Linked DNA regions of Rattus norvegicus. The protein of the gene in region 2 interacts with the protein of the main gene of each other region in a biochemical or structural test. Links are inferred from orthologs where the notes say so. Each region holds a gene or a part of one and is shown on either strand. Other genes may lie near its edges.

Evidence for each region. The genes of interacting proteins can lie anywhere in the genome.
Region 1: the proteins of Sptbn2 (region 2) and Actr1a form a complex in vitro, tested with the Homo sapiens proteins (2 studies listed by BioGRID). The link is inferred for Rattus norvegicus from reciprocal best matches to the Homo sapiens genes SPTBN2 and ACTR1A.

The regions. Positions count from the first base shown.
Region 1 is NC_086019.1:255,179,551-255,185,448, reverse strand, and holds part of Actr1a (alpha-centractin), read left to right. Parts: intron 1-673; coding exon 674-798; intron 799-1,887; coding exon 1,888-2,104; intron 2,105-2,705; coding exon 2,706-2,798; intron 2,799-3,300; coding exon 3,301-3,475; intron 3,476-3,572; coding exon 3,573-3,634; coding exon of another isoform or gene 3,635-3,787; exon of another isoform or gene 3,788-4,349; coding exon 4,350-4,390; exon of another isoform or gene 4,391-4,532; coding exon 4,533-4,635; 3' UTR 4,636-5,898. UniProt on the Homo sapiens protein: Part of the ACTR1A/ACTB filament around which the dynactin complex is built. The dynactin multiprotein complex activates the molecular motor dynein for ultra-processive transport along microtubules.
Region 2 is NC_086019.1:211,462,330-211,468,227, reverse strand, and holds part of Sptbn2 (spectrin beta chain, non-erythrocytic 2), read right to left. Parts: intron 5,330-5,898; coding exon 5,066-5,329; intron 3,615-5,065; coding exon 3,390-3,614; intron 3,196-3,389; coding exon 3,106-3,195; intron 2,478-3,105; coding exon 2,217-2,477; intron 2,130-2,216; coding exon 1,999-2,129; intron 1,803-1,998; coding exon 1,598-1,802; intron 1,009-1,597; coding exon 634-1,008; intron 1-633. UniProt on the Homo sapiens protein: Probably plays an important role in neuronal membrane skeleton.

The sequences.
Region 1 (5,898 bases), about 44 Mb from region 2:
GGTAAGTCTCTTGAGTCTGAGGCCAGCCTGGTCTACATAACAAGTTCTAAGCCAGCCAGGGGGTACAGACATCTTTTTTAAAAATAATAAAAATAAGTAAATAAGTAAAAGGGCTGGAAATAGAGCTCTATGAGGAGTGCTTGTCTAGCGGGAAACAATTTCCAATACCATGAAAAACCAATTTCAATATTTAAAAAGGGGGGCGGGGAGGCTGGAGAGATGGCTCAGCGGTTAAGAGCACTGACTGCTCTTCCAGAGGTCCTGAGTTCAATTCCCAGCAACCACATGGTGGCTCACAACCATCTGTAATGGGATCTGATGCCCTCTTCTGGTGAGTCTGAAGATGGTTACAGTGTATTCACATACATAAAATATTTTTTAAAAAACCAATATTAAATTTAAAATTTCTATTTTGAAATATATTTACCATAGAAAAACTTGAATTTAACAATATATTGACAGACAGAGGGACCTGTAGAGTAGTTTTGGAGGACAAGGAGGTGCACTCTGAGAATAAGGACAGAATGGGGCTTTAGGATGTGACATTGACAGACACGGGCATGACTTGTGACAGCCTCAGCTGACAAAGGCCCCCAGACAACAGACTTTCAGGGCAGGGTCACCAGGGTGGAGAGCTGACCTCACTGCCTGCCTCCTGGGCCTCTTTCCCCAGCATCCTGTGCTCCTGACTGAGGCACCTTTAAACCCTCGGAAAAACCGGGAGCGAGCGGCAGAAGTTTTCTTCGAGACCTTCAATGTGCCAGCTCTCTTCATCTCCATGCAAGCTGTGCTTAGCCTGTGAGTAGCAGCCCGGCTAGCGTGGCCTCTCTATAACCTAAGCCTCCGAATACATCCACTCTCCCCAGGGAAGATGAGCCGAGGTAGTGAGAAAAAGAAACTCTTACTGAAACTAGACATCGAAGTGCCTCAGATAAACCAAAGCAAAGTGTGGGTGCCCATTGCTCTCAGGTTTGGGGTTCAGGTCTGTGGTACACACCGCCGAGGCCCTTCTCAAGGTTCCTTAATGTATCCCAGTATTCACTCTGTGGACCGCGTGCCAGCTGTTCTGCAGGGCTGCTGGCATAGCTGTGGTCCAGACAGCACCACACCTGCCATGCTGCCCACCCGGCCTCATGCCTACCTCCATCAGCTGCTGAGATGGTGCCCTATGACCTACACAGACTATGTATTTGACCTCCTTAAATCATGAGCCAGCATTTGCAGGCTGGGAGATTTCCTGGGCTGGGGATGGTCCCCAGCACCCTCCCAAAACAAAAATAAAGGATTTCTTATCCAAATTTAAATTTCTAACCTCTGGACAAATGGAAATCTCTGATACCACTGGGCCAGCATTCCTGGACTAAATCCAATCTCGGCTGGCGCAGTTGCCGTGGCACGTTGGGTGTGCAAGCTGACTTTACCTATTGACCCCTGAATGCTGAGCCTGAGTAAGGGTTTGCCCTATTCCTGAGTCTCATTTCTGCCATTTGGATATTTTAAAAAAAAAAAAACCTAAAACTATGGGCTGACGTCAGAGGCAGCATGGGAAAGCCATAGCTCTCAGGGAAAGGGAAAAGCAGCCCCTTTTCCTCCTCCGCTGAATGCTTTTTCCTCCTCTTCTCTTGGGAATCGAAACTGCCCTTTAGGTCAGGTCCCCAGGACTGTAAACACCAGGCTGTGCTCTCAGACCAGAAGGCCTGTCCTTTAGGATGCTGGAGAAGCTTTGCTCCTCACTCAGTACTTCAAGGTCTCCTTAGTACCCAGGGACCCAGCCAGAGGGCCCAGGAGAAAAGTGGACCAAGGCTCAGAGCTCCCCTGACCCGGAGCTTTAACACGTGGACTTCTTCCTAGAGGGCATGGGGTTCAGTGATTGTCTCTTTGCCTCAGTTATGCCACAGGCAGAACCACAGGTGTGGTGTTGGATTCTGGGGATGGCGTCACCCATGCAGTCCCGATTTACGAAGGCTTCGCCATGCCTCACTCCATCATGCGCATTGACATTGCCGGCCGCGATGTCTCACGCTTCCTCCGCCTCTACCTACGAAAGGAGGGCTACGATTTCCACTCCTCCTCCGAGTTTGAGATTGTCAAGGCCATAAAGGAAGTGAGTGGTGTCCTGTGGCCGAGGGGTGGCAGGGGAATAGTGAACCTAAGAGTAAAGCAGGACGATGCTCCTGCTGGGTCCTGGGTCAGGCTCTGGATCCTCCTGGTACCTGTGTGCGTCTGTCTCGTCTGTCTTGCTCCTTCCCCTTCCTGAAAGCTGCCTGAGTGTGGGAAAGGAGCTGTTTCCAGTCCCTCAGCCCACAGGCCACTGCCCCTGAGTTTAGGATCACATCCTTGTTGAAGTTGAAATGCTTTTGTCTTCTTACGTAAACCCTCCTACCATGTATGGTTTGGGGAAACCTCTGAACTGGTGGGAAGCCAGAACCATACCAGAGGGAGGAGGAGAAAGGTGCCTGAGCCTGGCTAAACTTAGGCAGTCACAGGCCTGGGAGCTATGGAGCCAAGTTCCCAGGTTTGCTTACCAGGAAAGCAGAACAAGAATTCATGGTTTAAGTGTGCCCAGGACAGTGTGTCAGACCCCTGTCCCTGCTTGTGGGCGAGCACTTTTAGGCAGTCGCTGCAGATAGGCATGCTACTCCTGTGGACTTTGCCTGAGAGTGCACTAGGTTTCCTGCATACATGACTCATATCTGATTCTGCAGAGAGCTTGCTACCTGTCCATAAACCCCCAGAAGGATGAGACACTGGAGACGGAGAAGGCTCAGTACTACCTGCCCGATGGCAGCACCATTGAGGTAGTGACCACATTTTTCTCCTTTCCCCTCACACCTAAGCTTTGGGCTCAGCAGAAGGTCCTGAGAGGGCCTGACCAGCAGAACTGAGAACACAGCAGCCCAGAGCTTCTATGGGGACTTCCCTAGGGAGTACTTGTGTAGTGCTTGCTGTCCTAACCATCCCTGGGTACAGATTAGCGAAGTCACTGCTCCCTGGAACTCCAATTGATAAGACATTTCCTAGAGTGTCAATGCCAGAAATCTCTTAGCTAGAAAGTTCCAAAGCTAGTAGTAAGATAAGCACTCCCCCTAACCGCCACCCTAGTTCCCCAGAACGGTTTCTTTGGTCTGTTCCTAGGAGCCCTGTCTTTGCTCCTTGAGACCCTTGTCACAGAAGGTTTGTCTTTAGCCCGGGCTTCACAGACACCTGATTGCTAAGAGATAGGCAGGAAGGCCTCTTCTGTTCCCATTCCAGGGACCTCAGTCCCAGCCCAACCTCTTGAGCTGGCTCTTTACCCCACAGATTGGCCCTTCCAGGTTCCGGGCCCCTGAGCTGCTGTTCAGGCCTGACTTGATTGGCGAGGAGAGTGAGGGTATCCATGAGGTGCTGGTGTTCGCTATCCAGAAGTCAGACATGGATTTACGGCGGACGCTCTTTTCCAACATTGTCCTCTCAGGAGGTTCTACCCTCTTCAAAGGTTGGTCTTTGCTCTTGGGACCCTTGCTAGGGAAGCATCCTCATCCCACAGGGATCAGATGCCCAGAGTTAACTTGGGGGTCTCTGCTCTTTTGTAGGTTTTGGGGACAGGCTACTGAGTGAAGTGAAGAAACTGGCTCCAAAAGATGTGAAGATCAGGGTAGGGCACACTGCAGGCCGGGCCGGGCACAACGGGGCTCCACAGACTTGCAGGACAGGGCAGCTCTGTCCCCTGCCGGGTCTCCCCCAAGCTCTCCAGGTAGTGCAGACTAGTACCCCATGGCCTATCAGGAAAACTGAATTGACAGCTTGACCTTACCGTTACCGTGCCCTCTCCCATCCCCCAAGGTAGGACCCCTGTAATGCAGTTGCCTTCTGAACGGCTGCTGAAGGGCTTCATGTGGAGAGGACAGGCCCCAAGAGAAGGCATCTAATTCCTGCCATAGGTGTATCTCCCCACGTACGGTCAGGCTGGCCACAGCTCCTGCAAAGAGCCTATTGCGTGGTGTACATCCATTACACCCAGCCAAGGGACAGAGTGAGACAGTGGGCAGGGACAGGGTGGGGCTGAGAAGGTGGCTCAGCACTTGCTATGTAAGCATCAGGACCAGAGTGCAGATGCCCAGAATTCACATCAGAGCCAGGTAGGCATGGCCACCTCTTAAAATGGCAGCCTTTGGGAGGTAAAGACAAGGTCCCCAAGGGCAAGCTAGCTAGGTAGGCGAGCCAGCATGAGCCAGGAAGACCAGGTGTCAACCCTGGGCCTCCATGCACACACTCATGTGCATGTGCTCCCACACACCTGGGAACACACATGTAACAGAGGGATGACTGCGTCTGGGTGTCTTAGATTCCTCTCCTGTCCCCCTCTGCAGATATCTGCACCCCAGGAGAGACTGTATTCCACATGGATTGGGTGAGTAGCCCACGGAATAAGAGCAGAATGGGAAGCGAGGCTCTGACCATCCCACCATCCTACCTTGTCCCACCCCCAGGGAATTGACCGGCTGCACAATTTCATTCAGTCACACTGCTTCTCTGGGTTTTCTCCACTGCAGAGGCTCTATCCTTGCCTCCCTGGATACCTTTAAGAAGATGTGGGTCTCCAAGAAGGAATATGAAGAAGATGGTGCCCGATCCATCCACAGGAAAACCTTCTAATGTTGCGACATCACCACCTCTCTCTGAAGTTAACTCCACTTTAAAACTTTCTTGAGCTGGAGTGTTTGAGAGGAACTGCCTGTGTGTATGAGTGAGTGTGTGGGTATGGTATGAGTGTGTACTACTATGGAGTGCCGTGTGGCCCAGAAATCCTGGGCCCAGAGAGGACATTGAACTACCCACGAGGGGGATGGCCTGAGGCCTGGGGTTGACTACTCACTGGCCCCTTGCAGGAAGAGCTCTGGCAGAGGCCCACTCCTTTCTCAGCCAGGCCTTTGGCTGACTGTGTGGAACTATGGTTACTACCATGAGAGACCTTGCTGCTGCCAATCTCGGCTGGGCTGGCCCTGCTCCACTCCACCCGAGTGCCCTGAGGCCAGAGGCAGCTGCTGTCTCCCCAGCTCATCATTCTGTGCTGCCCATGCCTCTGGATCACACCGAGAACTGGGGCTGGGGTTAAGTTCTGTCTGGTTTGGTTCAGTTTGGGTTTGGGAGACTGAAAAAGCACTCTAGCAGTGGTTAAAGACTGGGTTCAGGAGAGAGCAGGGTACACTCACATCCACCTGGGAACCAGGTAGCAATTTGGACCGCACTGGGCATTTGGGAAGGATGGGGGATAGCTTCAGGGTTGATTTACAAGCTCCAGCCACATCCAGGGCTCGGGGACACTGTAAGGACTGTGGGCTCCAGGTCCTGCTGTTTGCTTCTCATACATCTTGGTTTCAATACCATCGCCATCGGTTTATTTATTGACATGTTTGTTCAGTAAAGGGAGTAGAGAGGGCTCCTGTCTCCTGCCCACTGGTCACCTTTGCTTACACTAATGTTTACAGCACCCAGGCTTTCCACAGTATCAGGGGCTCTGGCATTCCCTGCTGATAGTGAACTGACAGTATTCACGGGCCTCAGGACCCTGTGGGATTGGAGGCCGCACATGAAGGCACCCCAACCAGCCTCTTCCTTTCTCCTGGCCCCACTTGCTCACTGCCCTGGAGCCAACAGGCTGGTTGTGGTTGGATTTTCTAAGACAGGAAGGAGCATCCCTCTTTGGCAGAGGCCCTTTGTGAGGGGGGTGTGTTGGAGATCTAGACCCTTCAAAACAAAGCAAGCTGCAGTTAACCATGTTGCCTTTGCCACTCTAATTGACCGGGCGACTAAGTCAAAGTGGCAGGGAGGCCCCCTTCGAGGTTGGTCAGATTGAAGGGAGAGAAGGGGCCAGACCAAAGTGCCAAGATCTGATGGATTCCAGCCTTGTCCTCGGAA
Region 2 (5,898 bases):
TTGTGGTAGGAGGAACCACGATTCTAAAATCAAGTTGAGCTACTCTATTCCAAGGCATAAGGGGCACTGGAATTACTAGGGTGAGATGTGCAGCCTGCAGACTGGAGTTTGGTTGCAGGCTGACTGGTCATAGGGGTTGAAAGAATGATCGGTGTTAAATTTATGAATTGAGAATTCTGGCCTGAAAGGGATCAAAATAGGTAGGTTTAGGCATAGCATGAAGGATCTTGCAGCCATTGGAACCATTTGAAAAAATTGTAGGTCCTCATTAAAAGCATGAACTTAGCCAGGGAGATGCCTCAATTTGTAAAAATCACTCACTCAAGCCTGATTACCAGAACCTAAAGTGCAAATATTTGATTCTTACAACAACTCTTACAACACTGCCCTCTGACCTCCATATACACTGTAACCTGTACTCTGATGCTATAAAAGAATCCTGAATGTGACAGCTGATATCCATCGGCTGGAGGTATCTTTCAGGAGTGATTTTAACCTCATCTCCAAATGCCCCTTCAGGGGTGCCATCCTTCCCCAGGTTTTCCCTAGCACACAAGACACCCCCCCCCCCATTTCCCAACACACAGTTTCCTCTCAGCCCCTCCCTCCCGACTTGTTCAGCTAGGGTCAGACCTGAGTGCTGAGGGCTTGGATGTCGTGCTCATAGGCGCAGTGCCGGCGCTGCAGGGCCTCAGCAGCATTGAGGTCGCGGCCCGTCCCATCTGGAAGCTGCTGCTGCTTGTGCTGCACCCGTGCCAGGGCTTGGCGGGCCCCATGCAGGAAGCGCTGCAGCTCATAAGCAGCAGCCAGCACCTGACCTCTTGTGTCCAGCAGCTCCAGCAGGTCAGCCCAGGCCTCATTGAGACTGTCCTTCCACTCGGCCACGGTGGCCCGTGCAGCATGGCCCCCAGCAATGAGCCCATTGGCCAGGGCATTGGCACTGTCTACACGCTCTTGGCCAATGGTGCTGGTGTCCCTGGAGAACTCTCGGAATTTGTCCCGAAGCATCTGATGGAAGAAGCATTTGTAAAGACAGAGATGAGACCACCTGTGTGAGGTCCCTGTCTCAAGGAGCCGTCACTTCTCGCTGAGAACCCACTGGTCAGTGAGCAGGTATGGCAGCTTTAAATTTACACTTGTGACTTGCTTAACAGGACACAACCTGAGAAATGCATCACTGGGGAATTTCACCAGGGTACAAATGTGAACTAAAATGGCTGGGGTAACATAATACCACAGTCCTATATGACACCTGACATCCTACGAAAGGTATCTAGAGACACTCCAAACCCATAGCCCTTAATAAGGATACCCTAAGTATGGGCTGGATTTCTGCACCAGAGGACCCAAATCTCCAACCACAGCAGTGAATCTGAGACACTCCCTTTTTTGTTGAGGTCTGTTAGAAAAGAAATTTCATTTTGATCCTCACCTATGGCCATCCCTGTACCCCTTTTTCTGCACAGTTGCTCAAGTTGGGTAACTCAAAACCCACCTACTCTTGCTGCGTCCCCACCCTCATCATCCTGCCTGGGCCAACGCTTTGGTCTCCCTGTGGGCCCTGATCCTTCCCGGTGCTGATCTGCATAGTACTCACAGTCACATGCTCATAGTCCTGGCCCAGTTCATGGGAGGCTGCCACGACTTCTCGCTCCTGTATCCACTGCTCCAGGTCATCCAGCTCTCTGCGGAGCTGGCACAGCCTGAGGTGCTCCTGCAGACGCTCACGCCGCTCTCCTGCCAGCTCCTTTAGGCCGGCATACAGCTTGTCCACCTGGGCTTGGCGTATTGTTAACCTTGTGCTGCAGAGGTAGAGAGAATGGCTCCTTCTGTGGAGCTCTGCCATCCAACTGCTCTGCCTGCTAATGCCTGCCAAGTCTCTGCTCCTCCCAACTTTCTACTCTGTGTGCACGTGGTTCATAAGACGCCACCATCCCTTTACTTTCCCAGTACCAGCCTCCCCGCTCCTCCAGGGTTCCCTGATACTCATACACTCACCTCTCTGGATGTTCATGGTCAATCATATCTTGACTGCTGGCTGCTAGTTGTTTGATGGTCTGGGCATAGTCAGCAAGGGCTTGTTCTAGTACCTGATGCTTCTTCACTTCTGCCTGGGCGCTCAGCTCATCCTGGGAGAGGGAAAATTGAGTGTCAGGCAGCAGGGGCCAGGAGCAGAAGAACTGGCCACACAAACCAGCCATTGCTCTGACGCTCACCTTGGCCTTTTCCTGGCCCATCATATGTAACTCCTGCTCCCCCATCCAAGCCTCGGCCTCTGCAGCGTCACGATAGAATTGCTGGGCTCGAAGGGCCTCCTCCAGTCGTTTACCCCGAAGCTCCAGCTCATGGCTCAGGCGTTTCCACATTTCCTGGAGCTCAGCCAGCTCTGGACCCGCTGCTGCTGTTCCCAGAGTGCGCTGTCTCTCTTTGAGGTCTGCAATCCGGGGCTCATGGCCCTGGATCTCCTTCTGCAGAGTCTGTCCAGAGCAACAGAAGATACAGTGAACGGCTTGCAAAAAGTTCGAACCCCTTAGACCTACTCCACCTTGGGCCCTCCCTACATTCTTCTCTTTCCTGAATCCTCTGGAAGATTCTTCCCCCCCTCCCCCCGTCTTTATTAACGTGAGTATTTCTTATTTACATTTCGACTGTTATTCCCTCCTGGTTTCCAGGCCAACATCCCCCAACCCCTCCCCCTCCCCTTCTATATGGGTGTTCCCCTCCCCATCCTCCCTCCGGAAGATTCTTTGGGATGCAATGTGATACCCCTTCAATCCTCATGCTTTCCTACCACAGAGGCCACTCTCCTGCGCTAGGGAAAGGTAATTCACCAAGTCTAGGGCAACAAGCAAGAAGACAATGCCAGAGACACCCCATCATAGAGAAAACAAGAGAGTGGGGCATGGCAGTGTACATAACCATTAACTCCAGCAGACAAAAGTGGATCTGTGAGTTCAAGGCCACCCAAAGATACATAGTAAGATCTTGTCTCAAACCAACAGCACTCATCCTCCACCTCCCATCACCACACAAAAAGGGAAAAAACAAAGGTCTGAGTGTGAAGAACCTTGAGAATCTTATTTTCACTCTTGCCCTCTGCCTCACCTGGTTTTTCTTCATGAGAAGCTGGACGCTGGGCAAGTCCTTGCCATGCTCCAGAGAGCTGGCCATGGGAAGCCGCTCGGTCACCCACAGCTGAAGAGAAAGAAAAGGTCAGTGGAGATGTGAGCGGAGCTACCCACAGCTCCAACTGTGTACCTGAGGGCAGGGACCTAGCAGAACATCCGTGAATGTCCTTGGAGGGGATGGGCCACTTCCTGAGGCACTTCCCCACTGCCCAGGAAGTGGGCCTGAGAGCCACATGGCCAGGGCAGCTTGCCGTAACTCACTATCTCATCCTCCACATCCCGGTGGAACTGGTGCTGCTCTCGGGAGGCTTGCAGGCGCCGGCAGCGGTCCTTCATGGGCTGACACAAGGCCCTGAACTTCTCCTCCACAGCTCTGGAGGTCCTTTCCACCTCTCCTGCACTTTGGTCTTCCTGGGCCAGGGCTTTTGCCTGGGCCTGGATAGCCTCTACCTCCTTCTCTCTCACAGCCATCTCTCGTTCCAGCATCTACAAACATAGAGGAGATAAGAGAGATTGGTGCCACTTTTCTACCTTCAAACTCATAAGGCAGAAGCCTCTATCAAACCACCCATGATTTCCGATTCCTGGGGCCTTCTCCCAGGAAGAACAACTCCTTATAGTCTGGATAGGTCAGTCACAAACTCAGGCAGGCAGGCAGGCAGGCAGGCAGGCACGCGTGCGCACACACACACCACACACACACACACACACACACACACACACACACACACACACACACGCACACACACGCACACATTCAGATGTTGAACTAGTCCCTACAAACATGATTTTTTTTCCAAGTAGTGCAATGCCTGTCTTGTCAGAAGAGGGCACCAGAGGAAAAGCCCGAAACACTGAAGCAGGCCTAGCTTTTCGCTTGGGTTTCAAACTGCCATCAGAGTACAAGCGATCTAGTGGCTCTTTCCCCTCCAGGGAAAAGAATCCTGCTATTCCGGACTCTTAGGGTCGGGGAATCAGCAAAGACAGCCTATTTACTAGATTAAGTATATTGGTGCACTGGTCCATTCCTTATAGTATTGTGCATGGCATTTGTTTATATATAAGAAAGACAAAGTTGAATGGCTGGGACAGATCCTATGACCTACAGAATGCAAAGTATTTATCATTTAGCTCTGTTGAAATGTTTTTATATTGTATTAATCTGTGGCTGTATATGGGTTCTAGGGCTTGAACTCAGGCTGGTGATAAGCATTTTTACACAGAGCTGTTGTTGGCCCTACTGCCTCTTTACAGAGAAAAGGTGTTCTGACACCAACTGTAAAATTCTTTTTAGACTTGCTCTGGTTTAAGTTGTAATTTGTTTCCTCCAAAACTTATGCTGAAGTCTGGTCCTCAAAGTAAAGTGTTGACAGACAGTAAGAGGCCTTTACAAGATGGAGTAGATCATTAAAGGGATTTATGTAGTTCCCATGGGACTTGGTTAGTTACAAGAACAGGTTGTAAAGTGAGGCTGCCTCTCGGGTTTTGTCTCTCACACGAACTAATTTCCATTCTGTTCTGTCCTCTTACGACACAGTACAAGACTCATCAGAAACCAAGCAGATACTGACTGCTACTACACCCTTGTACCTCCAAAACTGCAAGCCAAAATAAAGTTTTTAAAAAAATAAATCACCCAGTCTCAGGTATTTTATTGTAGTAACAGAGCACAGACCGAGATAACACCTTTAGTAGTAACACCTTTTACTAATGAGTAGCTCTTTTAAACTAAAGTTCCTCTGTTCAAGTTATTAGTGTGGCCTGTCTCCTGACTTTCCTGACTGACTCACAGCCTTGTAGACTGTGATGTTGTATTTAATTAAGATCACTGTCAGAAATGCTAAAAGATGTCATACACCAGGCCTCCTGAAGTCCAAAAGCTAGGCACCCTCTTCCATTGTCTGGCTGTTCACCCTCCCCAAAGGTTCCTTGCATACCTGTTGCTTCTTTAGCAGAATGTTGACACTGGTGAGGTCCTTGCCATAGTCATCTGAGTGCAGCTGGGCCTGCAGGCTCTCCAGCCAGCTCTCCAGGGCAGAACAGCTTTGGGCAAATAGCTCTGCCCGGTTAGCATCAAAAAGACTGCGGGCCTTGGCTTGGGTGGTAGTCTCCAGTTCATCCCAGCGCCTGTGCAGGTCCTCCAGCTTCTCTGACACTAGGACTTTGAGTTCTGGCTTTTCAAGAGTCAGCTCCCGCCCTTCCTAAGTGACAAGACAAAGGAGGTCTAAGTGCCAAAGGCAGACTCCACTGAAGGTTGCAGGCTGACCACAGGCCCAGGATCTGAGCAGTATGAAATGTGCCAGGTAGTTCTAATGTCCTGTGTGAGGCAGGCTCATCAATAGACTTTCCCAGAGGTTTTGCAAGCCTCCCATACTGCTCTTCACTCTTGACCACACTCCACTCAATCCAACTTGACTTTCCCTTAGGGAGTCACTGCAGCTGGGCCTGGTGGCTCATGCCTGAAATTTCACACTTGGGAAGCTGAGACAGGAAGGTTGCTATGAGTTTAATGCCAGCCTGGTCCACACAGCAAGATCCTGTCTCAATAAAAAAAGGATTAAAGCCATTTGGAACCTTCTAGTATTGTGCTGCACACAGACTTCAACTATCTGCTGTCATGTTTCTTTATTTTTTCTTTTTTTTTTTTCCGGAACTAGGGACAGAACCCAGGGCCTACCACTGAGCTAAATCCCCAACCCCTGCTGTCATGTTTCTTAATTCATGCCTTCTCACTTGCACTAAACCTTTCAGCTTGAAGACTTGTTTCTAT